Coturnix japonica: one gene and its partner. The protein of the gene in region 2 purifies or fractionates together with the protein of the main gene of each other region. This does not show direct contact. Links are inferred from orthologs where the notes say so. Each region holds a gene or a part of one and is shown on either strand. Other genes may lie near its edges. The genes, in order: CHCHD6 and MTX2.

What was found.
Region 1: the proteins of MTX2 (region 2) and CHCHD6 purify together in Homo sapiens (co-immunoprecipitation; 3 studies listed by BioGRID and IntAct, counting the BioPlex papers as one, with this or other methods). This does not show direct contact. The link is inferred for Coturnix japonica from reciprocal best matches to the Homo sapiens genes MTX2 and CHCHD6.

Annotation. Positions count from the first base shown.
Region 1 is NC_029527.1:7,447,502-7,463,551, reverse strand, and holds part of CHCHD6 (MICOS complex subunit MIC25), read right to left. Parts: intron 9,154-16,050; coding exon 9,018-9,153; intron 6,232-9,017; coding exon of another isoform or gene 6,169-6,231; intron 1-6,168. UniProt on the Homo sapiens protein: Component of the MICOS complex, a large protein complex of the mitochondrial inner membrane that plays crucial roles in the maintenance of crista junctions, inner membrane architecture, and formation of contact sites to the outer membrane.
Region 2 is NC_029522.1:14,452,625-14,469,286, reverse strand, and holds the start of MTX2 (metaxin-2), read left to right. Parts: upstream 1-6,868; 5' UTR 6,869-7,045; coding exon 7,046-7,085; intron 7,086-7,435; exon of another isoform or gene 7,436-8,452; intron 8,453-8,645; exon of another isoform or gene 8,646-8,784; intron 8,785-9,824; exon of another isoform or gene 9,825-16,662. UniProt on the Homo sapiens protein: Involved in transport of proteins into the mitochondrion.

The DNA of each region.
Region 1 (16,050 bases), on a different chromosome or scaffold from region 2:
ACACAGCTGGGAAGAATCCCATCTGAATCACCGCATCCAATGCATTTTTCAGTGGCTGTGCACTTCTAACGAGACTTGAGAAGAATTTTTGAGCCTCAGGATACTCTCGAACACACTTAGACTTGGTACTAAGAGATGATGCATGACTGTTATCACAGGAAGTCAAACGGTACTGCCAGAAACCTGGGGCCTAGAAATACTATGAAGCTTGTTAAAAGGCTGATAACCCTAAATAAGCCACCTCTAGCACTACTTAAGACAAAAGCTTTCATCTGCTTCTGCTAATACGGCCTGGGGGAACACGTCCACTGTGTAACCTTGGAATCACCCTTGCTGGCAAACTCAAAGAGGAATCCAGAGAACAACTAAACAAAGCAAATGATTTTTCATTTCTATATGAAACGTTTAGAGCAGGTAAGGATTGAAGCAGCCTGCAGAGAGAAAGCTGGAATGATCACTGTGCGCACTCTAACCTGACCAAGAGTTTAAAAAAATACAATAGAAATATCATGATCTTCTTTAAAGCAATGTCCAATTCGTTCTCAGAAGGGAACGAAGTATCTGCAGCACACACAGACTGCAGATGGAGTGGATGTTCAGAGCTCCCAGTCCCCCCATAAAGGAATAATGCAATAATGCTTTACTAACAGACTGAAGCAAGTAACCCTTATCTCTCTGTTACACTGCTCACTGAAGTAACCCAACAGATGATCTGCTCAGAAAAATAAACCCAGTCCGTGTGGGCAGCAAACGTGGACTGATAAACTGAGAGGGAGAGAAAGCAGAGGCAGGTGGGTAGAGGTAATCGGAAATGACAGAGAGATAAGCAGGCAGAGGGCAAGCAGAGAGCTTGAAGGACAGAGGGAGAAGAGCAGAGATTCTACAGACTACAGGTATTTGAAAAGTTAAATCAACAGCTTTCCAATAGCATTATTTTAAGAATCATTCCCCCTAATATATGCAGGGAGCCAGCTGCTAGCACAATGACCTTTAAACCCGCCCCACCATACCTTATTAGACTAATTCAGAGCTGGAGGTTGGCTGATCCCAAAATCCACTTACACAGGACAAACAGGCATTCAGCAGGGACAAAGAGCGAACACACTGTCAGAATAATTCAGTCTGCATTTCTGGATACATTCAGGCTTACCACAGCACAACAGCACTCGTTTCAAGCTTCAGAAACAACTTTACACAGGATGTTGCAGCACCAGACTTCCTCAGGACTACACTATCTCCTTCCCTCATATTATAAAGGTAACAAATTCTAATTGTAACAAGTGTTGGCTGTCCGGACAGCTTCTGTGAATGCTGAGGGTGGGCTCTAAGAGCCTTTCACCAGCTCTTAAAGGCTCCTACAGAGGCCTCCAATCAGAAAACACAAAATACCACCAGGTAAGAAGGTGCATATAGGAGGTGCATAAGGAGACAGCATCATAAGGGGATGAAAACCACAATACATGCAGGCCTGGCTCCAAAAGAACCCTCCCTACAAAACTTAGATTTTGTAATATGAACGCTCCACAGTTTTGGATAGAGATGGTCTGTGGATGGAATATACCAAGCAAGCAGCATCAGGATAACTTCCCCAAGCCGTCTCTTCCAACGTGCTACAGGTCTGATGAAAAACAGATTGGTTTCCTATTAATACAAGGGCTCGTGTGCTGTCCATCAGCCTCCCAAGGAGGCGCTGCAAAGAAGGGCGAGGTGGAGCAGTCATGCTTACCTGGTAGCAATTCTTCCACTTGTTTAGGACCAGTGCCACAAGAACAGCCCCCATACATACTATCTACAGACAGATTCAACCGAGTGTTGGAGGCATTAAATCCTCTTAGTTCTCAAGGTATTCAGCCCCGAGACCTGCTAATAAAACAGCTGATGGATGGTGTGTAAAAGCAACAAAGTGCCTTCAGCAGGAAGCCATCCTGCATAGACCAAGACCAACAACAAGCATAACAAATCTTTACTTTCCCCAGTTTGTCATGAAGACTTTGGCATCCCAGATACTATTTCCCAAGTTATAGCCAAGTTGACAGAGAATGGACCTAACATTAGCAATGAAGTTATGGAAGTCAAGGCTATTTTGGAACTTCTTGGGAGTCAGAAGGCATTTGACCACTGACCTTGTGCTTCTAACCAGCAGTTGCTATCGACAGCAATTTCTGTGGATCTGTTTCAATCTAACTTCAGCAGCAAAACACGTAGGTTAAAAATTGGAAATCAACTGCCTTCTGTCCAGGACTGCTTGGTCATCAGTCTCCCAGAATTAATCCGAGTAAGAATTTCCACTTTAACTTGCCAACATTGTGCTACAAATCTTTTGTGAAGAAGTCTGGCATTAAAGCAGCATGATGTATCACAACACACTCTCACCCCCAAGCAACTATTCCCCATAGTAGATAAACCTGGCTGCAAGCAAGCTGCAGCTCTTGGGAAAACATTGCCTAACACACCACACAGAGAGCAGAGACTTTGGGAGACTCTTTAGATAAAATATATCCATGTAGATCTCATTATTTAAGCTTATAAAGAAATAATTCCCAAAGACAGAGTATCTCAGAGAAACACATTCCTGTCCTGATAGCGCTTGTCCCGATTTTACTTATATTTGATGCCCAACTTCAAATGCACCCATTCAGATCCACCCACTCAAAGACCACACCAGGTCCAAGTCAGGTATGACATCTCGCTCCTATAGCGCTTTCATTACCTCCTTTTTCCAGGCTGCTTTTAAACAGGTTCAGGCAAACCAAGTTTTAAGTCAAAAGGAGCTGTAGCACAGACCACTTTTTTAATGTAACAAAACACCACACAGTCCAACTTCAGAAACTGACTTATTTCCCTCTTTTAACAACATTCCCTTCAAAATCATCTGTAAAATATGCACGCTTAGACTAATCTTACCTTTAAGTATATCTGAGATTAGAGTCATTAAGTGAGAAATTAGACCCAAAGGCAACTTTGTCTCACTATAAGAATGTCAAAAAAAAATCCAAACAAGCAAAAAATAGAAAGACAAAAATAAATACACATGGACTGTGAGTCAGGCTCTTAGACAGCAGATTGTTGTGGAGAAATGAGGGCAGGATGCCTTCCTTCCAGGCTAGGCAATGGTCACAAGAACTTCATAGCCTGCACGTTCCTTTGCTCTTGACTAAATCTCCCTAGAAGTCCTGAAGCACATTGAGTTGGGCAAAAGAGAAGTTTTAAGCTTATTTATGCTGTTGTTTCCTTTGCAAATGGTAAATTCCAGAATATACGACATTTGGGCTTTACGTAATACATGGACCACAAACAGCAGAGTCAGAAAGGTAGCTGGGTTAATAAGTGCTGACAGTTTGCCAGGCTGTGGGGAACAGCAGGGCTTCGTGAAGTGCTGAGATACAGAGCAAATAAAGAACTTACACCTCCAGTTTCATGAATACCAGGTATATGCAGCAGCCATTTCCATTTTAAGTAGGCCAGCATTTTACTCTGGGACATGCCTCATATATTAAGATGGTGCTTTATGTCCTTTCAGGCAGCTCTATATTTTTAGTTTATCCACTGATGAACTCTAGGGAATCAGAAATGTTGTGCAAGGACCAAAGACCCAATGGAACCAAAACTGCCACCTTAAAAAAAAGAAATACCCATCTAAACAATAACTGCTTCCATCCTTTATAAATAGGAGCAAAATATGGATCACTTTCACCTTTGCAAATAACAGGTCAGGAGATGCCTACAATGAATCCAATGCTGCTCTGCCTTTACGACTAAATAAACAGCAGCTGCCTGCAGCTTGCGGCCTCTCCACTGATTCCCTTGTGGGGGCCATTTATTGAGTCATAAACTCCTCCGATAGTGTTATCACCACAGCATTTGGACAAATAAAGGTTGGAAGAGAGAAAGATTAAAAAAAGAGAATTGACTTTACAGAGAAAGCAAGAAAAACACTTCACAGATACGTTTGCTTTGAACAAGGGCAGAGAGACGAACGGCAGGGCAGGCACATACCTGGCTGAGGGTATGGATAGGATATCATGCTCCAGATACCAAATACACAGATTTATCTCAAACCACAAAGCTGAATTTCAGAAAGCTCAAACAACCCTAAAGCCTTCCAAGTTAGATATACTGTATTTCAAGTAGCATACCTCGTGATACATCTTCTCTACAAGGCTTCAATTGCTGAGATTTAGATCTGCAGAGTGTTGGTGAGGGAAGCAGAACACTGGCATTTCTCAAGTCACTGTACCTGGGTATGGTTCCCTCATCCAGGGAAACTCCCAGCAGGTCTGTACCCCAGTGGGCTGGGGTCAACCAATTTGTAAAGCATTCTGCACTCCATCAGGATGGAAACAACTCCATAGCAAGAAGCTAAAGATGATCTGAGCTACTCACAATACAGCCCACGACATCCTGCATCTCCTGGAGCCGATGAGCTTTGGCAGAAAGATTCTGGTCGGGGAAACAACAGCTCACAGCAGGCCAGGCTCCTGCAGGATCCAAATGCTTGAGCAAAGCTATTCCATCAGGAATGGACACTGCATGACTATCAGCTGCATCTTCTCAGCAATGGTAATGTAGGTCACTGCTCACAGATCAGAAGTAAACTTCAGGCAGAGTTGCAATGCTCTGCTGTGTGTGTTGAATGGAAAATGGGCTTCCATAGAGATCAGTCAAAAGCATGAGCAGTAAATTGACTACACTTCTTTATTAGAGTCAAAGGTAAAGGAGAATGTAGTAGACTCAAGGTTATGTTAGACATCTACATCTGCTGGAATCTAGTCTGTGCTTTGCCAGGGCTTGTTTGCATAGCAGAGTGACTCACAGCAAATGAGGGTGAATTTTCCCTGCGCTTCCATTACAAACCGAGTACGTTCGCATACAGAGAAGTTGCTATACAATAAACTCACTCACCAGTTTATTACATTGTAATTTCCTTATGAAGACAAGCCCTAAAGCCTCGATAGAAATAGGTTTACCTTTGTCTGTTATGAATAGCAGACTCGTGAGAAGCTGGATGTAGAACAGAGAGAAAAGGCGCAGAACTATGAATGGCTCCTAGCTCAGTGCATGTACTTCCTACTGACAAGGGAATACACATGTGTGAGTATGCAGCTCGTTATAACTTGGTTTGACCAGCAGCTAGAGCACAAAAACATCACCTTGGTCCCTCTGTGAAAGAGGAGCACCTGGAGACATTAGGAGAACACTTGGAAGAAGAAGGGTGCAGTGGGCATTTGATTGCACACAACTGTAAGTAGCAGCACTGTTCAAAACCTTGACACGTGTTAATATGTGGTCACCAGCAGCCGCATTTTTCAGGTGGCAGCTGGTTGGAGACCCCCTCACATAACCACCAGTTACATTACAGCTTAACCATCCAAACCTCTATGGAAACTCAGATTCACCCACCGGTGTGAACAGGACGTAGAGGAAGCAGAAGGGGTCACAAAGATCTTAACAAACCTTGCACGTGAGTGCACATCTGCAGGGCAGGAAAGCAATTCAGCAGCAGGACCTACGCTTCCAAAAAACGATTGTTTTCCTTTTCTATCAGGGTCCAAAAAAAGAAATAGCGCAGATTCCCACTACCCACTCTCCTTTTCCTTCCACACCCTCCTCTCATTGGCACGAGATAAAACCTCGGGGAAACAGCAGCAGCAATTTTCAATTCTCATTATCTAACGGCAGCAGTAGCTCTTGGTGAAACTTGCGGTCAATAAACTACAGGCAATTTTAAAAGACACAATGGGAACTGCCCCTCCCACAGCTGTCCCATTATCCCAGCTTTTATTAGATTTAAAACCAGCAATTCTTATGCTGTAGCCGAAGTTCTGCGGAGCCACAAAAACAGACCACCAGAAAAGATAAAACACTCCTAAATTAAACAGGAGGCATTACAGCAACATGCTGTGATGTCAGAGGGCATCGACATAAGCAAAGCTCAGGTTGCAGGGAGCAACCCAGAGCCCACGAGAACACAAACAAAACTTAACATTCTGAACAAATAAACAGCAAAGCTAGTAAGCGTGTTAGATAGGGAAGGCAGAGAACAGATGAGCAACAAGCAGAAGAGGATCACTCGGGAGCATCCAACTACAGGCACTAGAAGTTTGGAGTTGAAGGCCTCAGTGTGCCTAAGTGGTAGAACAGTCACTCGTAGATGGCAATTCCACTGACCTCCTTTAAAGGACTGTTGTAGGACGTGATGCACCGTGCTCCTGCAGTACCTATTTCTGTGCCCTGATGAGTAGAACACATACAGAAGAGGTAACAACAATTACAGCTCTATCATGCACTACAGCAACCTGCTCCACCAAGAGGGCCTGTACAGGAAAGGAGAGCAGAAAATAAATTTCTAAGGTTCAGAAATTATTACCGGATATATTTCTGTGGGGCAGAGGTAATTGAGATTGCACCTCACCTCCTGGATGAGAAATGTACACAGCAACAGGCAAAGGGAAATGGGTGCCCAAAGGAATGGTCTTAAAGCAACACAGTAAGGGGGAAGATGCAAGGAATTACAGTCATCCACTATAAGTTGTAATTTTCAACCTAGAAATCTAGAGCTCGCTTTCTCTGAGCCTAATGTATCCATGCCTTGGAGACATTTTACCAGCCATCAAAAAGAACTTGCAGAGAACCAGATGCTTCATTAAAGAATATTCACCAAGCCTTATAAAATCTTTAGGAAAAAGCAAAAGAACAAATCACCATCGTGCCAGCGAGCTGAAGTCCCACATCCAGCTTTGATTACAACATCCTTCTATAATAGCAAACAAATTCTGTTTAAAAGAAAAAATAACCAAAAAATCAAGAGATTGTGACCCCTCTTTCCCACATTCCTCCAACCCAAATGAGGAACGCGTGAGACGAAAAGCCATTTGGTAGAAGATGCTGCTAATTTAAACTTAAAGAAAAATAGCAGCTTAGATAGGAAAGGGAGGAGGGAGTTGTACGGTCCAGGAAAAAGCACAACAGCTTGTGATCGCTACATATATATCTCAGGAGTCAGAGGAAGCAGTAAGAGCAGCGAGGCAAACTGGCAGGGCTCGAGCCATCCGGGGATAAAGGCAAATACAGGAGATGCTCTGCCTTGCACACAGCTTATTTGGGTTTGCACTTGCAAAACCCTCTTGTGCCTGTATCCAGCTGCAAGTTTCAGCTACCTGTGCCTCAATGCCCCTTCCCCTTTCTTAAAGCATAGCAAGGAGATTCGCTGTCACATCGCCATCACCCACAGCACGTTCACGTCCTATGCCCCACTTCTTCTGGGAACTTCCCAAAAGAGCAAGGAAAAAAAATTCCCTAAACACTCTGTAAACTGAGACCACCTCCAAGTTCTTTGGTTTATAAAGAAAACATACAAAAAACCAACCCCACACTGCACAAATCTAAGCAAGCTCCAAGTTAATAGGATCTTTCACTGCCCTCTGCTGTTACCAGTCATTTAGCTTCCAATTTACTCTTTAATAATGTCGGCCTGGGGCTCAGGGCTGGCAGCATCCCAGACCCTTTCTCAGGCGGCTTGGAGCCGCAGCTTGCAAATATGCTGAAGTTTAATGCAATCTGTCTTCTTTGGTAATCACATTCCGCCCGCACTGCATGCAATAAAGATGTATTGGTAAATGCATTTGCTAAAGATATACTCCACCAAAAAAGGCTACGAGCCTGATTTACAGGAGGGAAGGTGGAAGCATCAGGTAACAGAGGCTGGCAGCGGATGCACCGGCACTCTGAGCACAGCAACAGAGGGCACAGATTGTGCGGCAGCAAAGGCACTGCTTCACTTTAGAGCTAAGAAAGAAAAAGAAACCACATGTTTTGGGAGCTGGGGGCTTTAAAGATATCAGAGAAAAGCCCTTTCCCTGGCAGCTTTAACCTTGCTGATTTGCAGACATACAAAGACCTTCTTTGTAAACAGGAAGGAAAAAAATTCCACCAGGACTAGCAGCAACATTTGGTCTAATATATCCTGACAATTTTCCCATCTCCTTCTGTCGGGCTTCTTCTGGGAGCCGGCTGGCAGCTTGTTTCATGTTATACTTAAATCAGGCATACAGCTTCCCCTCACAATGCTAATGCGACAGAGAAAGACTGCTTCTATGAAATCTCCACCTCCCCCCACCCCCCGCCTTCACATTAATAATCCCAAGAGAGGAGTCTCAGTTTTCTGTTCCCAGAAGGCTCCATCCCTTCCCCAAACCCACCCTGCTACAGTCTCAAGACCCCTGAGAGATTTTATAACCAAAAAAGAAGTCTGCCCTCAAGGGACATCTGACCCACTGAATTCTCATGTGAGGAACAGCATCCTTTACACTCCAGACATCACCTTATGTCTTATCACACACATTTCCTACAACCATAACCATCCAAATGCTTCCTTTTTCCTTTCTCCTTCACCTGCTCTCAAAGTCACAGATTCTTCCAAGGTCCTCAGCAGTCACCATCCTAAGGAATCAACAGAAGCTAGGAGCGCTCTGCATCTCTGAAGGCAGAGCCATAACAGCTTGCTGGACCTCTCCACAACACAAACAACTTTTAGGAGCACACAGGTCCCTCAAGAGGCAGCAGCCTTGCTACTTAACAAGTTTTCCACATGCAACCACAAAAAGAAGCAAGACTGATAATCGTGAGGTCCTACAATGGAATCAGGAATGTTTAAAGCCTGCCCAAAACATCGCTAATATTGGCAAAATAGACGTAACTACCATCTACAGAACACAGTATCAAAGAAGGAGAAATGTGGAAAAATCATTATGACCGACTTTGAAGGCAAGGAGTATCTGCACTACTGTTTTGGTAGCAGCTCAGCACCATAGGGGCACTGATGGGAAGGCAGCTGGGACATACCACAGAGAGACCGGGCAGCACTGGATCAACTTGAATGGGCATAAAGTGCATCCCAAGGAAGACTTGTCTCCTATAAACACCCCAACTTGACTGAAAGATACCACAGATCTCCAGAAGAAAACACTATACAGAACAGTCAGCAAAGCCAGCAAGTATAACAGAGAAGCTTTTACTACCTTCTGAGCGGCACTAACACAGCGCTGATACTCCTTAGCCAGCTCTGAGCATTTGAGCACTTCACGTTGGTTTTCTTGATAGCACTTCAGAATTTCAGACTGCAGACTTGCACAGACAGGATCAGTGTTCCTCCTCCTGTGGGCAAAACAAGAACAGAGAGATGTGCAAAAGGGAGTTTGCAGCCATTGCCTACCACTTGACTAGTGGCACACACTTGTGCTGGAGTCACTTAGCCCTAAAAAATAAATAAACCAGTAGGAGCAGCGATCACAAAGTGAGTTAAATGACCAGTGATGTCTTCCAGCTAAAAAAATCCAGAGTACTAAGCAGAAAGATGGAATGTATTCTTACTGGGTCAGTGTGGGAGGCTGCTTTACCCACAGATAAAATACTGTGTCTCATCTGCAGTTAAGAGAAACCAATTTCAAGAGGTTCAATGATTTCTCCAAGACACGCAGGAAATCTTTGACAGAAGTCAGGAATTCTGGCTGGGCCTGCACCAGATCTGTAACAGGCTGATAAGGAACTGAATGGACTTGTTGAATGAGCTACCCCTACTTACTGAATTCTCAACTATTTAAACATTTCCCCAAAAAATCCAGCCTGGTTGTGAGTACTGCAGTTCCTCCAGTAACTAAACAAAACAAAAAAAGGGAATAATAGCAAGACCAGGTATCTGTTTCTTTGTATCTCCGAAGCAATTAGTACTCATGTCCCATAAGTGGCATCGACAGCTACTCAAGAACAATTACAGATGATGTTCTGAGGCTATCATGTGCATGAGTACATATGGCATATCTTCAGCAATAGCACCAATAAAGAGAAGGTCATTGTAAAATAATCCGAGCCACAATGGCACAAGCACAGTAACAGCATCATCAGCTGCACAGACAGGCAGCCACAAATTGCAGGAATTTGCAGCACAATTGCCATGGTACATTTCAGCAGGAGGAGTAGCAGCACTAAGACACTGCCTTCTAAATCATAAACCCACTTAATTCCTTGCATTCCCTGCCTCAGTGTGCTTAAAGAGATCTGTGCTCAAAGATCAAATGTCCCTCTTCTTTCCAAAGCACCTGATGTTAAGGGCAGGCACAAATGCCATACTGTGCTACATTCATTTCCACAGTAACAAGTCACTCATTCAATCAATAGGGTTTCCCAACCAGGTAGGAAGAAAATATGGCCTATTCCTGAACATCTTTCATTCTCTCACAGGTGAAACATTTCTAAGCCACAAGGTATCTTGAAGCCAGATCATCCAAAAGTGTTTTGGAGACTACAGATAGGAATTTCCAAATCACACTCATTTTGGTAAGGTACTGAGGAAGGCAAAAGAGGAAAAGAAGAAACCATCTGTACCAGCAACACCACTGCCTCTTCATAATAGTTTGGTTGAGACATACTCCAAGCAATAGTTCAGTCCTCGGTCATACCCTGCAACGTACATCAACAGGCACTGCAACAGGTAGCCCAGTGTTGTGGTTGATGCCCCATCCATGGAGGCTTTCAAGGCAAGGCTGGATCAGGCCCTGGGCAACCTGATCTAGCTGTGCACGTCCCTGTTCATTGCAGGGGAGCTGGACTAGATGGCCTTTAAAGGTCCCTTCCCACTCTAAGTATTCTATGATTATAACTAAGAATTTATCAGCAACAATGTGACAGCCACACTCAGAAACACCTAGATCAGAAAGCCACCAAAATACTACATAGACTTCTTTTTCTCTCCCTCTTCTCTAACCCTACAGCTTTTAGAAGAAACTTGTTTCATATGCAGTCCCCAGAGGTGAGCATGCATTTGTAATTTCCACGTTCCGTAGCAAATCACCTTTAAAGCCCCTGAAAATCCATATTCCAAAAATCTTCAGATTTTGAAATAGAAAAGGAACCGGAGAGAGCATCAAAAACTCATAATATCGGCATTTTGCTTTGTCACTAACTTTAATATCGCTCTAATCAAATCAGTGAGACTGTGGAAACGACACCAAACAATACCAGGTCAGGAAATACCATCAAATCCCTCAATTCATTGAAGAAGTTAAGACTTTTAAAATTAGGTTTTTCCAACTCAGCCATGTTAAACTGAAGGGCATTTTGTAATTTTCAAGCAGAGGGTTGGGGGAGGGAAAAGGCAGAGCATGTCACAGAGCAGTCTGAATTCAATGGAACAAAACAAGTATCGTGGAGAAGCTCCAGCTATGCACCAGTTGTACCACCTTCTCAAAAGAGATTTAGAGAATCTCATCAACACAGCACAAAATCAGCTGACGTAATTATCGATACAAATCCCACAAATCCATTTATGAGAGCATTCACAAATGAACTGGAAATTCAACAAAACCAGCTAAATCCTACAGAGGATGACATCTCACTTTGGAGCAGGAAGGCAGTGCTGCTCAGAACTGTCTCTGTAGCCCACAACACAGTGTGACCTGTGAAATGAAGAGCCCAGCACAGGGAAGGACACCCAAGTCCAATGGAGCACACGCTGGCTTTGGACAGTGGTACACTTAATTTGAAAGGAAGGAGAGCTTTACCAGCTACACCCCTTCAACCTCAGCCCACCACAAGGCTATGGGCAGTATTTAACCTTCAGGAAAATAATCATCTCCTGGACACTGCTCTTGGTAAATGCTTCGCTGCTGGAGGGTTTTAAACAATGAAGGGGAAAGAATGTGGTGGAGAAGGAATGAGGTTTGAATACAGAAAGAGCAGAGGAACAGTAAGCTTTGACCTTTCTTCTAAAATGGGTCACAGTTTTAAGCGTAATATGCTAAGACCAAGAAAGGCAGGCAATTAGCCTCTGTCTAAAATAAAATGCATTGCAATTGCTACTGCTATTATGAAAACAGATGCAGCTAAACATCAGCAATTTACAGCAGCTAAAATAAAAGGGGGGTAAAGGAAAAGGTCTGAGCAGGAGGGCTAGGAAAATACCCACAGACAAGGAACTACAGGAGTTGAGCTCTGACAACACCCCGGATATAAATGCAGGGCATACAAAATATGAAAGATTAAAACAATAATACATGATCAAGGAAGAGGAAAGGAGAAAAGATTACAGGTGGGGAAAAAAAGGATTAATCTAGAAATAAAACTCATTAGCAGTGCCTCTCCAGTCACAGCGGAGAAAATCCTCAGCTTCTCCGCTGTGCAATGAGACAGAAGGCTACGTACATCTCAGATCTTCCTCTCCCCCTCCTGCTGAAGGATCTAAATCAGCTCTTTGGCTGGAAAAGAAGAGATGGGTTTTCTTAAAATGAAACAAAGGGCGTCCTTCTCCCTGCTATCCCTTGAGGTAAGGTGGAACGAATGTGATCCTGCTGCATTTTGACACACCAAGAGTTACCAAATCCTCTCTATCACTGCGTATTCCCTTTACTTTATTTAACAAATGAAATCTCATCAACTTATCCTTCTTCTATTATCACTGCTGACATCAATCTGATAATATTGGCTTGGTGTGGAATCGTGCTATTATATGTCCTCTTGATATTTAATTTAAGAGAAACGTCTGCAGTGGGGTGAATATGTGAAGCAAGCTTTTTATTACTGGCAGCAGTAAGGACGCTGGGAGTGAATTAGACATTCATCTTAGTCAGGGCCAATCTACTGGCTCAGAAGAGGTTTTCTTCTTAACCCTCTCCTAACTGTTCAACAGCGGCAGGTAACGGCTGCTCCAGTCAATAACTGCATTCATTTGTCTTGGCAAATTCACTTCTATGTGGATATAAACCCCATGAAGAAGTGCTGAGCATCTGGGAGGTTAAAGCAAGGTTCTTCAAGAATTTCCATCCTAAGCGCTGCAGTAGTGCGCAGAGTGCTGGTCTAAATGTCCATCAATTAATCAAGGAGCCACAACGGCTCTCAAAGACAAACACAAACTTATTTCATGAACCGATTTAAGGCAATATCATCAGTACACAGATCCCACAGGCAGGCTACAAACATAGCGCAATGGCTACCAGCTCGTTGTTGCTGACAGCTTCCACTTTTGGAAGGAGAGTTATGGGCTTGGTACTGGAAAGCGAGGGAAAGCTGTAAGATGTGTATGCATTTGCTACTATTTCTACCCTGATGAAAAAAAATATCAGACTAGCCAAGTGGAGATAGAACTTGAAAGCTTTAGGACTTGACAGCTCCTTAAACTGGTCCAAGATCCACAGCAAGTACCACGCTGTCACTTGGCTTTACTGGGTAGAACAGCAATCCCAGATGGAATTAGAGGCAAGATTCTCTTTTTACCTTTTACTCTGGGAAACCATTCAAGCTGAGAAAAAACACTTAAGACAGAGAGTGAAGGTATCTAAACCTAGACATTTAGATACTTCTACTCAAAGTGAAAATTCAAAGACACCCAGGGTTTCTTGTACAAGCCGACTTCAGAACAGCTTGCTCCGGTATAGAAGCCGCCTAAATGGTGCAGCGAAATTTCCTGTGGGTTGCAGAACCCAATAACCAGGTTAGCTACTTTCTGCTGCACTATTCAACTGCAACCAGTGTCAGAGCTAACCTGAACAAACCACATTAATCACCACTGTAACTACAGCGCAGACAGCCTCAGAGGTCAGCAATGAGGTGCACGGGCTGCACTGAGAGCAAAGCGCAGCAGCAGTTTCTGTGTCGGAAAGGAATCAGAGATGTGTCAAATAGTTGGTTAGTATGGTTGTATATCCAGGCTACACCAGATGTATTTCAGACTAAGCTCAGCGATGTTTGGTCACATGGAAGTGGTGTGCTGCACCGTACATACACAAAGCCACTAAGTGGTTAACTGACCTGTAAAACTGCATTCTCCCTTGGGTAGCAGTTGGCTCTGATGGCTCCTCTTTAACATGTCAGGAAAATAACTCCAGACAGATGCAATACATAGTGTGCAGAAAGGTTCCATCCTCTCTCATTACTGCATCCTTGACATTTACAGCAGAAAATTAAACACAATTGAAGCATTTCATTCACATATAACAAACTCATCAGCACAGAACAAACAGCCAAGAAAGCCAGCTTCCATCGCAGGATGCTGTGCTATCACAGAGCAAACACTGTGGCCTCGCTACAGCCTATGGGATTCCCTGACCCTGCACGTCAGCTTGATAACATGGCCTGAATGAAAGGGCAGAGTCACTTCTCTCACCAAACAGCAACAAAATAAGAGAAGGAAGATTCCTAATGGATTATCAACCAGTACTATTTAAGCTACATAACCGAGCATAGTCTAAATAAACTCCATGCCTCACAAGAATAAACTATTACCATCAGGAAGGAAATATCTCTGATCAGTCTCATGTATTCAAAACACCACTCAAAGCTTTGCCACCAATCTGCGTGGAATATTCTTTGTAGAAATAACTACTGCGTAAAGGACATGGATTAAAAGGAAAGGTGAAGCCTCATGACAATTTTCTTAATGGGACACTACCTCCACATTTCAGCTGTGGCAGCTGCTTTTCTAAATCCTTCCCTTATGTCTTTTCATACTGTCTGCAACACACTACTGCACAGTGCAGCATTTCCTCTCTCTTTCTCCCTCTTCACAGCTGCACTTCACTAGCAGGTCACTCATTTCTCTTCTCTCCTACCTTGTCCATGGAAATGCCTAATGAATACATATTTATGAAGTCCTTCGGTTTCCATGCAGCTCTGTGATCCTACAAAATTTGTCACTCAAACACTTCCCAATCTCCGCTCCTCTTTTGACAGCTTGTTTGAAGCTGTCACACAATTCCCCATTGCAATTTGTGCACTCAGTGCACCCGCGTCCTTTCCAGGACAGACAACTCCTTCCCTTCCAATCACAGATGCCCAGAAGCTGTTCTGAAATCATCTTCTGTGTAACTAATTAGATTCTATCACTGAGAACAAAAAGTTAAAACAAGCATCCAAATCTCAACAGAGTCCACAACTTGTAGTGTCACTGCGCTGCTGGAACTCCTTCAGAGATGACAGTCTAACCTGACCACGTTTTCTTTAGGAAATGACAACAAGAACAACTTTCTAAACACTCAGACTAAGGTGGAATGCACTACTTCAGAGCTTTATATGACACCTAATTTCAGCCAACACTCACAGAAGTCAACAACGATGTCTCCATTCCACTGATGAAACTCATGCAAAGAGACTGTGTGACCAAAGCAGCACAGGTTCCAGTTCCATATCTCACTTATTTCAACACAAGGCAAACTCTTCTCCTTCCTACATGGTTTAACCTCATATGTAAGTAGCCATTCCCCATTAGAGCAATAGGCCACCCAAAAAAACTTCAATTTATATTTACTTGTACGGATGCAGCTTCTACCGCATTTAAACTGACTTTCTTAGCAGCATCCCTATGGCTGTAGGCGGGTTATAAGTGACAACTCCCAGCCAGTCCTGCAAACCCAATTGCTAATCATCCCTATTAGCATTCTGCATGGCAGATGGCAAGCAATGTGAAATAATGAGAGATTTCTCCCCACAAGTGGATAATTTCAGTGTACATGGATGTGAATTCTTTACCGATTACGATGGTAGAATACTGAGTTACAAGAAACTGTCAGTTTGGAAGATGAAAGGAAAACTACAGCCTCTTGGCTGCCTTGCCAAGAGATACAGAAGTTTACAGAACTGGATCTCCTGCCCACAAAGCCATGCACCGTTTTTTTGCCAAACTACTAAAAGTTGACTAGCAAAGATGAAGCCTAAAGTTAGCAGCAAAATGGTCTCTGGAAGCCAAGCAGGAATGAGTCAGAATCTTGTTGCTGGAAGGAGTTCTCTGAATCAGAAAGGAAGCTGGCTCAGCTCCCACAAGGCAGAAAAGCAATATAGCAAGCAATAACTGAATGTGAAAACAACACACAGCCCAACAAGTGACCCGAATAGGGATTTTGTTTCTTAAGATAAAAAACATCATCTAAAAAACAGTTAAGAACTCAGGTCAGGAAGTGAACGCATGCAGCGTCAACCCTAAGAATATTTGGGTTGTGATAATGCTGTAATGTCAGGCTTTGCTGGGGAGGCTTCTGCTGAAGGAATGTTGGCCCCATCTTTTTTGGT
Region 2 (16,662 bases):
TTTGTCTCCACTCTTTGCATGTTAAATGGAAACTTAAACTGATTCATGCAGCTCAAAACTCTTCCGCATCAGTGTTCAAAAAACCTTCAAAGTCCATATTCTCTGTAAAATATTGTGAAATCATCACCACACCACGAACTGAGCACTATTTCCTCACACAGCGTGCACTCCTTATTTCTGGCTGCGTGGCCTCAAAAAAAAAGACCAAAGGAGACACCTGGTGCTTTTCTCACATCCTTCTACTACTGCCAGGGAAGGGATCAATCTGCTCTGCCACATGCCCTTACAAATCTCTGGAGATACCCAGCCCCACCAGCTCATACCTATTGCTAACAAGGCCATATGTTTTCAATGTAGATACATTCAAGTCAAGTCAGTCACCGTCATTTTTTTCCTTCACCGCAGTTACACCCTGGGGAGAAACTATGTCAAGTATGAACTTCTACAGCTGTAATGAAGATACAGAAAAGCTTTCCTTGTTCCTTTTATGGATCAAGACAGTGATTTTAAATGGCATAGATTCTACTTCTGAAGTTTCTGCTTCATCACATCCAGTGAATCAATTTTCAGCCTCCCTCAGAAATACACCAGGGCACTCCTGTACAGTCAGGCTACGTGTTTAAACTGGAAGTGCTGGAAACAATCATGAGAAAATCCTCTTATTTATGAAGCACATGGGGGAATGAATCACAAGAATAAAAACCTCACTTCCCCGTGAGCTTTTTTAGAAAAGGAGATTTCACATCTGGAGGCAAACAGGTTTATAGAAGATGACTCAGCTCTGTAGCTTTTCTCTGTAACAACAGAAAGGTCCATCCAAACAACAGATTGCTGCTCTAAGGACCAAGCATTTGGGCAGAGCCAGTCACAGCTCTTCTGCTGCAGTGAGATTCACGGTGCCTCCACAAGAGTAGCCATAAGCCCTACCCTGGTACAGCCGCTGGGGCACACACATGGGATTAGTGGCACTTCTGAGCTCACACCAGTGTGCTGGTCAGCACCAAGCTCTCAGCCAGGACAGCTCCTGCTTGCAGCTTGGTGCTATGCAGTGGGTCAGCCCTCAGGAATTCTGCAGCAAACTTCCTTCTCAGCCGTGAAAAACTTCTACTGGGCTCTTGTTTTGCAAGAGTCGTACATATTAGACTGATTTTGTGCGTTATTTTGGTCTTCTAAAAGTATTACAGAGGGTTTTGTTTTATCCCGGTGTGGAATAGCAGCACATTTTTAATCTAAAAAATCTTTTGGGACAAGGAAACCATTTCCTGCCCAGCTCTACAATTAATCACAGCACATCCCTTATAGTGCACTATGGATAAATAATTCATTACAGCTGCCTCTTCCCTCCATACAGGGTAGGCAGTTGTGATCGTTTCTACAGGAAGAAGAAAGTTAATTCTTTCTATGCTGGCCTCCAGAGAAGGATTCTGACCATCTTACAGGGAGCTCTGATGAATTAATAAACCCCCTCAGTATTTACCACACTTGTCCAGAAACTGAGCTCAGCCGCAGCTCCTTAATTTTACAGATACCATCTCCAGAGTTTGAGAAGACTTGCCTAACCTGTGCCTGCAGTCAAACTGTGAGCAATTATTCTGACTTTCATTAGCAAGATGATTCAGGATTTAGCAGCCGTGTGAGCTACACAAACATCGGGACGAACATTTAGAGCAATCACTAGTGCCGGTTGGAGCTGTGATTGCTGCTTTGACATTCCTGCAGTTTAGGCAACACAACCGTGATCCGTGCGTCAAATTAAACTAATAAACAACAACAAAAAAGTAAATGAATCAATATTTGTCTCTTCAATTAGGAATTCAGAAAAGATGGATAAGTACGGAATCAGTCTGTTACTACAGGTTGGACCCAACGGAGCCAAAAGGTCAGCACAGTAGGGAAGGTGGAAAAAGACAGTCATGGCCTTGAGAGAACACACAGGGAAACCAGGGGAAGTCCAGGGGAGGTTTGGATGTTTCAGAGCATGAGGAAAGTCTCCTCAGCAGCTGCCATGAATGACAGAAATGTGCAGGAGCCTGGGGGCTGATGATGCCTCCAGTAAGTAAAGAGTGAAGTAAGAATCTCTGCACACTGGCTTTGATGCTTGCTCAGTGCAGCTGTGAGGATGACAGACGTGCTAAAAGAGACTTAGCACCCCTGAATATCTGACCCTGCTGAATAAAAAGGAAAGGAGGTGAGAAAGCAAGACGAAAATGATTCACCAAATTGCTTTCATACTCAGTCTGAGATCCCCTCCTTGCTTTCAGAAACACTATTCTTGTACCTCTTAAAACTATGAAAACTTTTTATGCTCATGTGGGTTGTTGGAAACGCATCAGCATTTGTTGATTTATCAGTTAAGTACACAGTAACTTAACAAGTGCAAAGTGGTTGTGTTCAACTCTGACTACTGCATTTTCATAGAAGCACATTCATAGAAATTATGCCTTACACTGTTTACACAACTATTAGACCATTAGACCAAAACACACACCTGCCTGGCAATGAAAACACAGGAATACTCTCATCATCATGTACTTAATATTCATAGCACGTAATCTACTATAAAATACACCTGAACTTACACAGAAACACCTATACTACTGACCGAGTCCTAGCTGCTCCCACAAGGCACACATGTCAAGATCCCAAGGACACGCGCAAGAGTTGTGGAACGGGAAGTTAGACCTCAGCTTTGACTCTGGTCTCTCGCAGAGCAGTATCTCACTAAGCCCACTGGATTTGGTGGGACTGAAAATCTCATAACTTACCTGATACTTGGGAGATTTTGGCACCATTCCTCACATGGAAAAACAGTGTATTATGTGAAACAGCTGACAGGCAAACACTCGCATGACAAACATACTAAATACCCCGTGAGATCTATTTGATCACGTTAATCTGGATCCATCTGTTTCTGCTGCTCCGTGCGCTCTGCCAGGCTGCTTAGCACACAGATCACCTCTGGCACCAAGTCATGCTAGAAACACCCTCCTGCTGTTGCCTGGCACTCAGTGTATTGGCAGGGAAGGACACGCTCAAATCCTCCTTCATTGCAGAGATCCCCAGCAGCCGTAATAGCTTTTTAAAGACACTGACAGCAAGCATAATTCAGAGCAACCCCCAGGATGCCCTACGTTACACCACAGGGGCAACATGGCAGTGGGCCAGGCAAGGAGAAGGCATTGCTGTGCCAGTTGGTTTGCTTCCTGTAAACGAGAGGAATCGCTCGCTACCACTTGGCCTATTCTCAAGCACCAGCAATACCACACAAACAGCCTGATCAGAGATTCCACTCACCAGTGAAATTTCTGCACAGTTATCTTTCCAAAAGAACCATTCCTAATTGAATGCACAACTGTCAGCACTCCTCCTGTGATTTGGAAAGGCAGGAATTGTTAGAAACCTGCTCCATGGAAATGGAGAGCAGCAGTTTGGGCAGAGAAAGTGCTCTGAAATGCTCCATCAAGCATCCTGGGATGAAGAAAGGTCACGCTGTAATACAGAACAGCTTACACTACCACCTCAAGACTGCTATTGTATGCCAAACACCAACAAAATTCCTTCAGTGAAACTAGAGCCTAGATTGCCTCAGAGCCTTCAAAGCCTAGATTAGATTTAGCCTAAAATGTGTTCCATCAACTTGGGAACTGCACACGAAACACAGCAGAACTCAGGTCCAGAGAAACTGATATTCCTACCCTTAACAGGTGCTTGCTCAATCTTAAATCCTACCACACAGGTGACAGTAACACCTCACATGGCACACTAATGAGAGCAGCCATGTTAAAAACTAAGCAGCTTACTACAAAAAGCCAGAAGCCTTTTACTATCATCTCCAAATTCCTCATGCAACAATATCAGTAACAACTCCAAGCAATTCACAAGCGATTTCTACTGCAGCTGGTAGTATGTGCTACTCACTGTGACACTGTGCACTTTATTGAACAACAAAACGGAAGATAAAAGTGATACAAATTGAATGTGCATGTTACAAGTTATCCAGATAATTAGATTTTTATTTTATTTTTTTTTTTAGGGATGGATAAGTCCTTTCTCAAATTCTAATCAATTTAAAATTGAACATATACACATATACACATATATGACAGTTCCATTTCCCTGGTGGACAAATTAGCCACAGGGATTAAAGTCTCACCTGCTAAAGGCAGCCTACATGGAGAGGTGTATATAACCATATGAAGACTGTACTTTATCTCTGGGCATGCCTTCGTAAGGCAACACCCCCATTTATGGGTAGTGGTTCTGCTACATCTACTCATAACGCAATAATGTCAGAACACAATCAAAAGTACAGCAGTAACAGTGGAGTAGCACAAACCCAGGGTAAGGCAAATGAGAACGAGCCCAAACAGAGCAGCTGCAGATGCAAAAACAAAGGAAAAACAGTCTGCTTACCTTTGGAAGACTCATAGATACACGGGGACCTCCAACAAAATCCTGCTTGCTTCCAATGCTAATCCTTAACTGAGGTCTGGGATGGGGTAGACCCTGGCTGCACCCCTCTTGGTCACTCATGGGCATTGCATGCACCTGAGCTCCATTAGGTTGGCCTGCCTTCCCACCAGGTGCTCAATCACTAGTTCAAGCCATGATTTAGCATTTCTGCAGCAGTACTCCAGCTGTCATTCTGAAATACAAAGCTCTGCAGATTGTTCAATTCTGCCTTTTGGTTTCCCTTGAAATTCTAACTTGAAGTGTGTCCTTCTCTCAATACTGAAATCTGACATACTTCCACCTTGGGATCTGCTGTTCTGCCTTTGCAGTTTGTGAAAGGTGGGAAGCTTTCCGTGGTATGAAGCATTATAGAAGGAAGCACGTGAATTGCGTGGCCAGCTGAAGAAATGATCTGCACGATGGCTGTGAAGGAAGCCGGGCTCAGCAGGAGCAATTCCTGAACTCCAGTCCCAGAGCAGGGAGCCTGATCATCTTTGTCTTGCTGCATTTTGGAGACAGGAACATTTACAACAATCTACGTAGTGCATTCATAATGCAATGTTATGGAATTTTCCTGAACTTTAGATAGCCTTTATGTCACAGAATTAGGGCTAAGACATAAAAGCCAAGGTGTACACCTCAAAACACGAAGTTTGTATCATGGAATCTCAACTTGTGATGAAGGAAAAGCAGCTATACCCTTAACTGATTCCCTTTAGTTATCATCCGCAAGACACTTCAGGAAGCATTCACATGTTGAAAAGGAGATAGCTGGTATGATCCATAGGAAAAGCACCTGTAATTGTAGGAAATCATCTCCTGTCAAATTCAGTTAATTTAATGCCACCTTGCCTGCACATGCTGATCATTTCTCTAAAGGTCGATAAATGAATGATCCAGTTGGTACATATTCCACAGACACACAGCCATATCTAGTATCTTTGTTCTTGTTCTAATCTGCAGTTAGTTCAGGCAGTTAGAGGTTGAACATTTTTCTGCTTTCAGACTAAACCACGTTTAGGTGTTTCTGTTATCTTCAGAGAACTACTGGGATTAAGTCCTCATGTGTTGAAGCTTCATACAGTGTAAATGCCAGAGGAACTGAAAAGGGATTGAGTTGCCTTGACTTGACATAAAAGGTAAAAAAAAGGTAAAACAGGCTGAAATGACACCTTTCAGCTCCTCATCTATTACCTCTACATGTCATGTGGAACAAGCTAGATAAGCCAACTTTCCCTCAGTAGTAGAGACTACCCATGACTGGGGTTTTTGTTGGATCCAGAGGGCTTTTAAAAGTCCTTTTATGTTGCTCTACTGGTCCAGGGTACCCTTGCCTTGACTCCTCTCTATAGGACTGTAATCAAGGCTGCATACACATAATATATCACCAAGAAAAAGCTGCAAAACATCTGCAATTATCCTTCCACGTGCACTTATTTCATTTTTCTCCTTGAATGAAGCTGAAGTGTCTGCAGTATTTCAGATGTCAGCCATGTTTATATTGCTGAAGGATTTGGCATCTGTCATGAGTTAAATAACAAATGTCATCGCTCCCCGAGCAAAGGCTTTACTACTGTTTACTGGATAGAGATGTGGCTAAATCAGCCCAAGAATCCATCACAATACTCAGAATTATGATAAATATTCTCATCCATCATGATGTTGGCCAGTGTTTCCTGCTACCATTTGTCACATTGTAGTTTTGTTTTCACTTTTCTTTTGATTATATTTCCAGGCAAAGAAAGAGAATTATTACACCATGGCTAAACAAGCAGCTTTATCTCAGATAACATTTCAATTGGGTGCGAATTCAAAGGGACTTTTCCTCAATCTGGATTAACTAAGGAGATCAAGATGTAATTCCCCAAACAGTGGGTTGCTCACAATCCTGTCTTTCTATCCTCTACCTATTAAAAGCTTTAAGGAAAAGTTCTGCAGATTTGGTGTATATGGAGCCCAGAGAAGTTGCTTTTGTTGGTAGTAGTAATTGTCATGGAAAGCTTATACACAAAGATGTCCTTTGTGTTACGTAGCTCTTCTATGAAGTCTGGAGTCCTGTGTGGCTGACCCAGGGCTGCAGACAGGCCGCAGCCTGTGCAGCAGCTCTCACAGGAGATGGGGGATAGTCACTTGCAGTGTGGAACTAAGGAGCAGTAAGCAGAACAGGATCCTAATGGCCGGAATTAAAGCTGTTTGGCTTCACAGCGCACTTACACATTTGGCAATGTCCGCATTTGCATTTAACTCTAACGCTGCACGTACAGCTTTGCAGCGCATCGTTTCCAGACGAATCTCTCCCTCACATCGCGCACTACGCGCTCCACACAGCAGGTCCCCGCGCTGGAGCTGCACTGTATGCTCAGCCTGCATTTCTCTATGGGTACATTTACCGAGGATTTGAACCCTCTTGGAGGCAACTCCTCCTCTCCGCTCCTCTCCTCACACCGCCGGGCCGCAAACCCCGCCCTCAAGAGTAACGGCCGTTGGAGGCGGTGCCGTGCATGGCGGCGGGGCGTACCCGGATGCGCGGCCGTGCGTTGCGGCCCCAGTTCCTGGCTGTGCCCTCGTCCCGGCGGGGCTCGCCCTGCGCAGCATGTCGCTGGTGGCGGAGGCCTTCATGAACCAACTGGCCGGTGAGGGGCGGGCGGGCGAACGGGCGGCCGGTGGGGCGGGCGTCGGGCCGGGGTGGCCGCTGGCGATCGTGTGCACTGCGGGCCCAGTGCCCTTGTGGCGGCCGGAGCCTGCGTGACCTCTCCGAAGCGCGGCAGGGCCCTGAGGAGAACCGGCCGCTTTGCCCTGCAGGGGCTGATTGCGGCAGGCCCGGCCGTGCACAGCCGCGCTCTGTACGCGGTACAGCCGCTGCGGCACCTCGCCGGGCTCCCGCTGCAATGGCGGAGCGCACAGCTGCGGGCAGCACGGCCTCTGCTCATTTAACGAGCCCAAGGCTCCCAGCTGTGCCACGCAGCGCCTTCATTTCCATTGAATAACGTTCCTTTGCAAGCGCCGTGTTTATGGTGCTGCTGTTATGAAGCTGAGAAGTGTAACGATGCATGATTTGTTCTTACGATTCGCCATAACTGGGCCGCATGCACCAAACACGGGCCTTGTCCTAAATAGCGGCAACGTGCATAACTGTCACACTTTGTAACAGAAGTGCTCTCAAGGAACAAATGTGCACCTCAGAGAGTTTCTGGCTGTACAGCTCAAAACACGCTCAGTACATTGCACATAAAGTCAGTGTGTTGATCACATTTCACCCTGCTATGTGAGCCCACAAGGGGCAAACACTGCAAGGAAATAGCACTGCCATTCCTGCCAGGCCGTTGGGGAAGAAGCCAGCATTTGTCCCGAGAGCTGGGTCTGCAGAGGCCCTGATGTAGGAGTCCTGGTTTGTTTTTCAGAGCATGCTTGCCTGTTGCTGGTGTGGTAAACAAAGAACCTCAAATTTGGGTATGCAACAGGGACCCACAGGCATCCTTAAAGTTGTGCCTGGCTCTTGGGCTGGGACTTGTTGATTCATGGTGTTAGCTCCAGCAGCACCTACATTCTAAAGGCCAGGCACCCCAATTCCTCAGGACATGGGGATTATGGTCTGTCAGCATCACTCCATGCCATTTACTTAACATGATCTCCTTAGTGCTTTTCATTCACTTACATTGTGAAACACAAGTATAATCACAAATGTGAGTAGGAGTCGATTCTACTGTGTTTCTCTGCTCTGTGGCCCTTTTTGAGTATCTTAAACCAAATACTTGTTCCTTACTGGAATTACAAACACTGTATTGCACATACATATGCGTATTTGAAACTATAAGCAAGAAATACTGCAGTGCCTGGCTCCTTCCTTTCTCATTCCGAGTTGTTCCTCTGTTTCTGAACAGATTCTTGCCTCTCCGTTGGGTTGGTTGCTTTCAGTAGCCTCAGGCTCTTGTGATGACAGTTATACGATGAATATGGGATGATGAGAGCATCAGAAGTGTTTCTATGCTTCAGGACCTTCCTGAAATTTAATAAGCATAGAGCCTCATTTTTGTCCTGTAAGTTACAGGTTAAGCAATGCTAGTTTATTATTATTATTTTTTTTTTAATATAACATGCAGGTATTTAATACAAAATTGCTGCCAATGTTCCTGCACAGCAAAAGTGCTCAGTGCTTATTTTATTGATCTACTGCTGGATGTGCAGTAACTTACCATGACTGAAGGTACAGTACCAATCCTCGTTGTAGACCTGTCCACTTGTAACACTATAATGTGATGGAAAGCACAGCAGTAATAGTAGGGTGGCAAAGCCCTGGGCTGCAGCCACTGAGGATAAACCCAAATGCAGCAGCTGTGGACACAAAAACAAAAACAGCCTGCTTACCCTTGGAAAGCCTCAAGTAGACAGGGATCTCCAGCAAGATACCCTTGCCTCCACTGCCAACCCTTAAATGAGGTCTGGGAAGGGGTGGATCCTGGCTGCACACCTTCCAGTCACTCAGGGGCATTGCATACAACTGAGCTCCCCTGGGTTGGCCCTGCCTTCCCACCAGGTGCTCAATCACTGCTTCAGGCTGTGACTTGCATTTCTGCTACACTCCACCCCTTCATGGTGTGAACCAATGATTGAGCAGATTAAAGGTAAGCCCTTTCCATTATGGTGATAAAGTACACATCAACACTTTGTACAGTTTACCTGTTGGAGTGTCAACCAATAAAATACAAGACAGTTGAACTTGTATCACAAACCAATCGTCACGTTCCTTTGTGGGCCAGTACTCAGTGGTTTCTCCAGGAGGCACACGGTTGCTTGGACCAGCTCACATTTCATCAGCCCCATATAGTCCACCACTGGGCATCATGCTGATCTTACAGTGACACTGGAGCATCTTGATGTCATGTTGCTCCTCCCAGTGATCATGTGAACCCAAAGAGACTCACAGGGAGTAGTATTGATGTTTCAGAGGTACCAGAAAGGGTAGGTCTGCCCTCTACATCAAGACACAGGCCGTGTTCCTGTTCTGGGTCAATACTTCAGCTTGCACTAGGGCATGTCCTGGCTGTCTGTATTAGGCCCTTTGGCCTGATATCCGAGGCTGTATAACTATGTTGGGTAGCAGAGGAGTGAGGGGGGGCTGACTTGCCACAGGGACGTGATTAAGGTCCCCTTAGCAATGGAAATTAGAATGTCAACTACAATATCTGTAGGCCATATACCAATTACCATGAGGGAGTACCAATCCCCTGGCCTCCAGTAATTTCCCCCAAAGGTTCAAGTAGGCCATACTACTTTGGAAAGTACAAGTAGATCCAAGGTCATTCTATTTTGAGTACCTGGTTTTAGGTTTTCAGGGGCAGGAGATTATTTTCACTGCTTATTTGGTGTCTTACCTGATTATCAGTGCTTGCAATTTGAATCCTTGGAACAAGCTCAAATGCAGCAACTGTGAACATAAAAACAAAGAAATAAAAATACTTAACTTTGGAAAGCCACAGGTAGGCAGGGATCTCCAGCAAGAAATCCTTGCTTCCACTGCCAACCCTTAAATGAGGTCTGGGAAGGGGTGGGTCCTGGCTGCCCCCCTTTCAGTTACTCAGGGGCATTGCTTACACCTGAGCTCCCCTGTGTTGGCCCTGCCTTTCTACCAAATGCTCAAACCAGTGGTTCAAGCCCTGACTTCAGCATTTCTGCTACACCACTGAATCGTTTTAAAAACAAAATTATGACCTTGCCTTTGCTTTCCAAAAGCAGATCAGTGTCAAAAGCAGTTATCTGACTTGAAAATAATAAATACCTTTGCTGGCGGGTCATGGCCTTCTAGCTCTTCTGTACTATGTATCACTCCAAGACTGAAATTAAATAAAGGAAAAATTGCTCAATTTGTTCATATTGGAAAATTTTTCTAGAAGTTATCCAGGTTCTTGGCCAATACCCCCCACTTGTAGGTTGCACAGACACAGGGAATATGTTATTCTGATACTGGGAAGGTTTAAATGTCTCAAAAGTATTTTTGAGGTTGAAAAATGGTGTATCTGAAAGGAAAAACATACTTAACAATGGCTGTTCTAACAGCCTTCTCTTACCTGTGGCTGTGAATACTGTGCTTTGTTATGCGTGAGTGGAATGGTAAGAGTGATTGAGGGGGGAAAAAAACACAAAAATCCCCCTCAGAACTATGATTTAACATGGTACAGGTTGCTCAGAGCAGTTTTGGAATCTCCATCCCTGGGGATGCTCAGAACCCAGCTGGCGACTGCTCTGGACAACCAGCTCCAGCACCTCCAGCTCATCCTCTCTGTGGTCCTTACTGGCTCAGCTTGCTTGCACATATGCAGAGGCTCAGCAGTCTCTGTGCAACGTGTGTGCATCTCAAGGTGCTGAGCACAACCTGCTGCTGTCATGCCATAGTGATCCACTGCACACTGACAACGATATCTCTTATGTGGAGTCAGATGCTTGCTCTAGTGATGTTTTAACATTTCACTTGTTCAGAAATATATAGAGAATGATGCTGTATCTCGGGGAATCATAAATACTTGTGTAGTTCCATGAATTGCAAGCATGTTACACCACATTTTGAATAAGCAATTTCTGAACTGTTCAAGTATTAATTGGATGTATGGTAGGGAATTTGTTTAGAGTAGCTTAGCATCAATCACATTTTAACAGGGTAGGAAATGGGTATTTATGCTACAAGAAGAATTAGAGTGCCAGCTTTCAAGTGGTTCAGAATATTAAACTCTGACAGTGGTAGTTTAGAGAAGTTGGCTGCTCAAATGGCCTAGAAAAGATTGTTGAAATGTTTTTCAATTGATCACTGAATTACTCAGTATGCTTAGCATTCTATTCCCCACACATTAGGTTCAGACCAGCAATCAAAATGAGAGAAAAGAATATCCTTGTTTGTCCTTTGATCTTCTGTTTACCGCAGCTGAGTTATGTCTAAAGGCCTTTGGCCAGTTTTAGTGCTGAGGGAAATGAATGCAGTTTGAAAAACAGATGCCCTTCTGCCTTTAGATATTTTACATTCTCAGTGAGTCTACCTGCAGCGTAACATGCCAGAGCAAAAGTAAATCTCTTATGTGCATGTTTTATGTATTAAGACAAGCTGCAGTTTGGCTTAGAGAAAACATCTAGAGTGAAAACTGACTGCCTTCATTGCTCCTGCACATGGAGGCATGGAATGTAAGCTGGGTGTCCGTTTTGTACATTAGAATGTGCATGTATGAATGTGAACAGTTCGTGCTTGTATACAGTGAAAAAATAGTTCCCTGTTTGGAGCGGGAGGTAATCCAATGTAAGGGATCCCTTTAAGTCCTGTTCTTTTGCCACGAGCAAGTCTCTTAGGTGGCTCCTGCCAGTTTGCTCAGGCACGTATGTTTTGTAGCTTGATTTGAATCAGTCCTTTGAAGGGATTGCCTGTCTAATCTTTTGCTGGGCCAGAGGAGGAATAACTTTATTTTGTAATAATTACAGTACTGTACGTATTTCATTCTGAGTTAGCTACTTCTTGTATTTATGAAGTGATATAATTACAGTTTATAATAGAATATCCCTCTACAGTTGTTTCTGGCTCCATTAAGACAAAGCAGTCTTCCTCTAATCAGGATTTTACTATTAGATGTTTTCTGCTAAGTAGTATCTTCTTATTTTCTCATGACAGGAAACAGGATTGCTCTAGAAGTATGACAAGAAAATTAGTAAATGAAAAGGAATGCTTACTTTGATTTTGTCCCATTTGCTTTGCAAATACCATTGTCTCTTTTGGGGGCTGACCTGGAGACCGTGAGCCCTACAGCAGCAGCAGAGGCACCAGTGTCTTCCCCTTAACAGTGGCAGCGCTTGGCTGGCTGCACCACTGCCAGACCTGCCTGCATTACTGCCCCTTGCAGCTCTCCTGCCTCAGATCTCTGCTCTTCTTGCCTCTACCTGAGGTCCAGGCTCTCAGCACTGCTGTCATCACCTCATGCCTCCTGGTAGTGCTGCCCTCAGCTCCTTGGGTGAGATAGGAGAGTGGGAATGAAGGGCAGCCATAGTGAGAGGCCACAGGGCTGGGTCTGGTTGAACAGAAAGAATGCATGGGGGGAAGCATTTGGAGAAGATCAGGGATATTGAGGGCTGATCTAGTGGGACACAAGAGTGGGATCCCTGGTTTGAGTCAGAGTAAAGGTACTGGGAGTGAAGCAGGGAGCTCCCAGGGGCACTTTGCAGAAGTGGCTTTCGGTCTGTCTGCCAGTCATCTGTAGGAATGGAGGAGTTTGGATTGTTCGGATGGGGAGCTCTCGATCTAAAACAGCTTCCCAAAAGGCCAGTTTAAAGTATAAAAACGTAGTCAGCATGGCTAAGAATTGTCATAGTCCAGTAGGGCACTTAGGACATTCATGAGCGTCAGACATCTGTCCTCCTCTTCAGGGCAGCTCCTCTGCATGGAGCTTTATGTCTTCAGGCAAGGGCAAAGGACTTGAGTAACGCAAAGGGAAGAGATTGATTTAGAGATCTATAAAAAGCTATAACGAAGAATTACGGAGTTTCTTTGAGATGGAGCATTTATGCTGAATATCAGGAATAAGTAAAATAGCTCCAGCTTGTCGAGACTTGAGAAATAAATCTATTGAGATCATTAGTTGGCACTCTGTGCTTTTCTGAAGGAGCCCAAATGTTGATTTAGGAGCAGCTTGTATTTATGATTTTGACTCTGCTGGGTTTCAGTGGCCTCTCTGCAAGCGTGGAGTTGCCAGGCCACCTCCTTGCAGGGAGCATGCCGAGTACCCGGGGGCCACAGCACAGTCTGTGCTCTGGGCACTCAGCTCAAAGTAATGGAGTTGGACAGATGCTTCAATCCACGCCATTAATAGCTTTCTTGGAGGGTTAAGGAGCAGATTGTCTCATCCTAGATGGCTGCTGCAGTCATGTCATGATCAACCTTTTTTAGTGTTCTGCTGCAGGAAACTTGAGTTTGGGAACTGCTGCTCAGATTGAGTCTTCACATTGGCATGTCTGCTTGATCAATAATTACTGAGCAGCTATGATTTACCTGGATTGTAATATCTCTGAGAAGGAGGTCCGGGATAGATTTAAGCAAATGATGTAATTATTTGATACATGATTTAATGTGGCCTGTTTAACTTGTGTGAAAGTGGGCTTTCATTTGGCAGGGCACTGTGGAACACTCCTTGGTTCTCTGTCAGCAATGCCAGGGAGCTGCTGATGCTCTCATTTCTTCTTGGCCCTTGTCAGTTTGCAGGACCAGACCAATCAAAATGTATTTCTATGCTTCATTCCTGTAGCAGAGATTTAGGAATGCATCAGTTCCTGGCCTTTTCTTTTAAAACAATATATTGTTCCCTGCAAGCGTGACCATTTGCATTGTGAAAAGGGAAGAAAGTGATGGCCTACTTCTTTTTGATGCATCTCAACATCAGACTATTAATGATCCTTTTTCCTCCTGGTGTCCATGGGTTAGCTTGCGGTGTGGTTCCTTTGGGTTGAGCACAGCTCCCAGAGCAGCAGCCCTGGGAAGCCAGGCAAGGAATGCCTTCCCAATGGTTGTTGCGATGTTTGCTCCGTGGTGCTTGGAGACTTGTAAATAATGATGTTGGATGTGGATGCAGCCAGATGTAGGACTCGATTTCTTTGTAGTGTTTACTCTTGTGAGAAAACAGTTTTGAGGTATCTCATTATAATTTAATCAAATCTGTACCTAGGGAGAGGCTAAAGGAAACAGTGTGGAAATAATGCGTAAGTTAATTTCTCCAGCTGTAATATTGGAATACGGCGATTAAAATTAATGCTAACTTTTTTAGGTTTTAGTAGAGAGTATTTTGCCTCTTGGCTGTTTTAACAGGCCTTTAATGCTATGTGAACCAAACTGGTAAATACAGATGTTTTCGCTTTCCTTCTTTTTATGCAAGTTTAATATCAAAGTGCTTAAGAATATAACAGAAAGGGAAATGATCCATGCAAATCTGGCGACTTCAGAGAAGCTGCTTTTTTTTTTCTGCACAGTCTGTAAACTCCTGCTTACAGTTGCAGGCAATGGCTCTGTCCCAGGCCTGGTTTCACTTGCATAATTTCATACAGAGGTCTGCATGAAAGAGGGTGCTGGTCATTTGGGTGCATGATTGACGGAAGCAGAAAGAAGGTGTTGAGGGATAAATTACTGGCACACTGAGAACTCAGGAGATTTTAGTTTACAGGATACTCGAGGCAGAGATTGTCTCATTTACTTTATGTAGTTTCAGTGCTTGACAGATAATCTGCAGACTAGTAACATTTGGTGTTAGTTCCTTAGCCTTGACTCTGATTAGGCATATTTTGGCTTTATAGCTGAAAATCACTTATGTCTGCATTGCCTTCTGAACACATTCCCACTCCACCCAAATTCTATGGTTGTGCTAATTGCTGGGAACAGCTTAATTTCAAGTTGAGCATGGTCCTGCAGAACTCTTTCACCTGATAATAACTTCATTTCCCTTGTAGGAGGGAGCACTTAGATGCCTGCATCTGGAGCTTTCTCATGTCTGTGCCCAAGACTCGGGAAGGAGCGGCTTGTGGACATGTGTTAAATGAGCTCATGCTGCAAACCACGTCGTGTACTGTGATGGTCGAAACTGGCGATTCATGCCAGGCTTCTGAAAATGTTATGTGCTTGTTTAGCATATTTCACAATTTAACATGCAAAGTGTTTTGTGTCTTCTTATTTCCACAGTCAGTCTTATTTTTTAAGTAACAGGATTAAAGGTATAATTGTAAGCCATTCATTTCATTTCAACTCTTTCATCATTGTGAAGCTGCTTGGGGAAAGTGGATGAAAATGGCTGTTCCCCCATCCGTCCAGGCAGCACTGACATGGGATGAAGTTTCCCAGCTATTAGAATGTAGGAGTTGAGACCTAATTTGGTACTCTAATAAGATGTTGGAACAGCCTGGACAAGGAGCTGGTGGGACTGAAGTGCTGCAGAGTGTTGGGAAGTGATGCCTTCCTCATCACAGACTTTGCTGAGGGAATTTCTTACAGCCTTTCATTTTTGGACCTTGAAATTAACTGTGTGCAGGTACCCTAGAGAAGTACATCCTGTCCTGTCATGTTCTGAGAGCACTAGTTGGAGCTGAGATATGTGAGCCTTGGGTGTGCTGCTCATCTCCTGCTGGTAGTGAAGTCCAGTGCTCTCAAGGATCTCTTCCCATGGCTTAAATGCATTTGTCCCTCTTGCTGTCTCAAAAGTATTTAGATTGACAAACTCTTATTATTGAAATGACAACTCTGTAACATCTGGAAATGTTGAAGTCAAGATATTAATTGGATTTAATCTCCAACCATGGTATAGCTCAAGTAAAACATTTCACTCCAAAACCTGAAAACTGCACCTGATGCTATTCTTTTCTAGTGGCAACGAGTTTTATGTGACTGTCATGTCTCATTCTGTGCTTTGGAAGCTTTTTGTGTGAGCAGAATGATACATTCAGTAATTCATTCTCTTATGTGACAGATGAGGCAGCGAGCTCTTTTAATAGATAGCTGCAAACCTGAGTAATTACAACTCCACTGGGAACATGCAACACACCAGTTCTCAGAGTTTCCCTCTAAGTCTAATTTGACACCGAAGTATCCTGGTAGTGCTTTGTATTCTATATTTTTATGCTAAACTGTTAATAAGCAGAACACTTTGACTAACAAATACATTGAGCTTAGGGAAATTTTCATCTATTTTTAGTGATTTACAAAACCAAAGAAGATTTTTCTGTAGGTGGTCCCCTTGCTGTTTGACTCCTCTATGGTGCTGAATTCTTTGCACCTGTAACCTGGCTTATGTGGTGATGCTTTCTGCGTTCATGTGCTGTTAGTTCTCACTTGCCAGTAACTATTGAATTTGGTGCTTGTTCTGGATGTACGTAACAGGGAGAACTGATCCCATAGATGCCAGTTTCCTGTAACTGGCTTAAAAACAAGCAGTACAGAAGGAGAGAAACAGGGGAAGGCAACAGTCATATGTCCTGAAAAACAGCAGACAATCCATATGAAAGATTAAATGTTTGAATTCCTGAAGCATGGGAAAAATGTCAGTAAGGTGAGAAAGCAATCTTCAATAAAGATTGTGTGCCTGGGAGGCAGACCCATTGGGCGCCACACAGTCGTGGTTCTGCTGGTTCTGGAGGCAGAAGGAAGAACCTAATGGTTACTTATTCATAAGTTACGAAGAGAAGCAATTCCTGGAAGGTGTTCTTCCA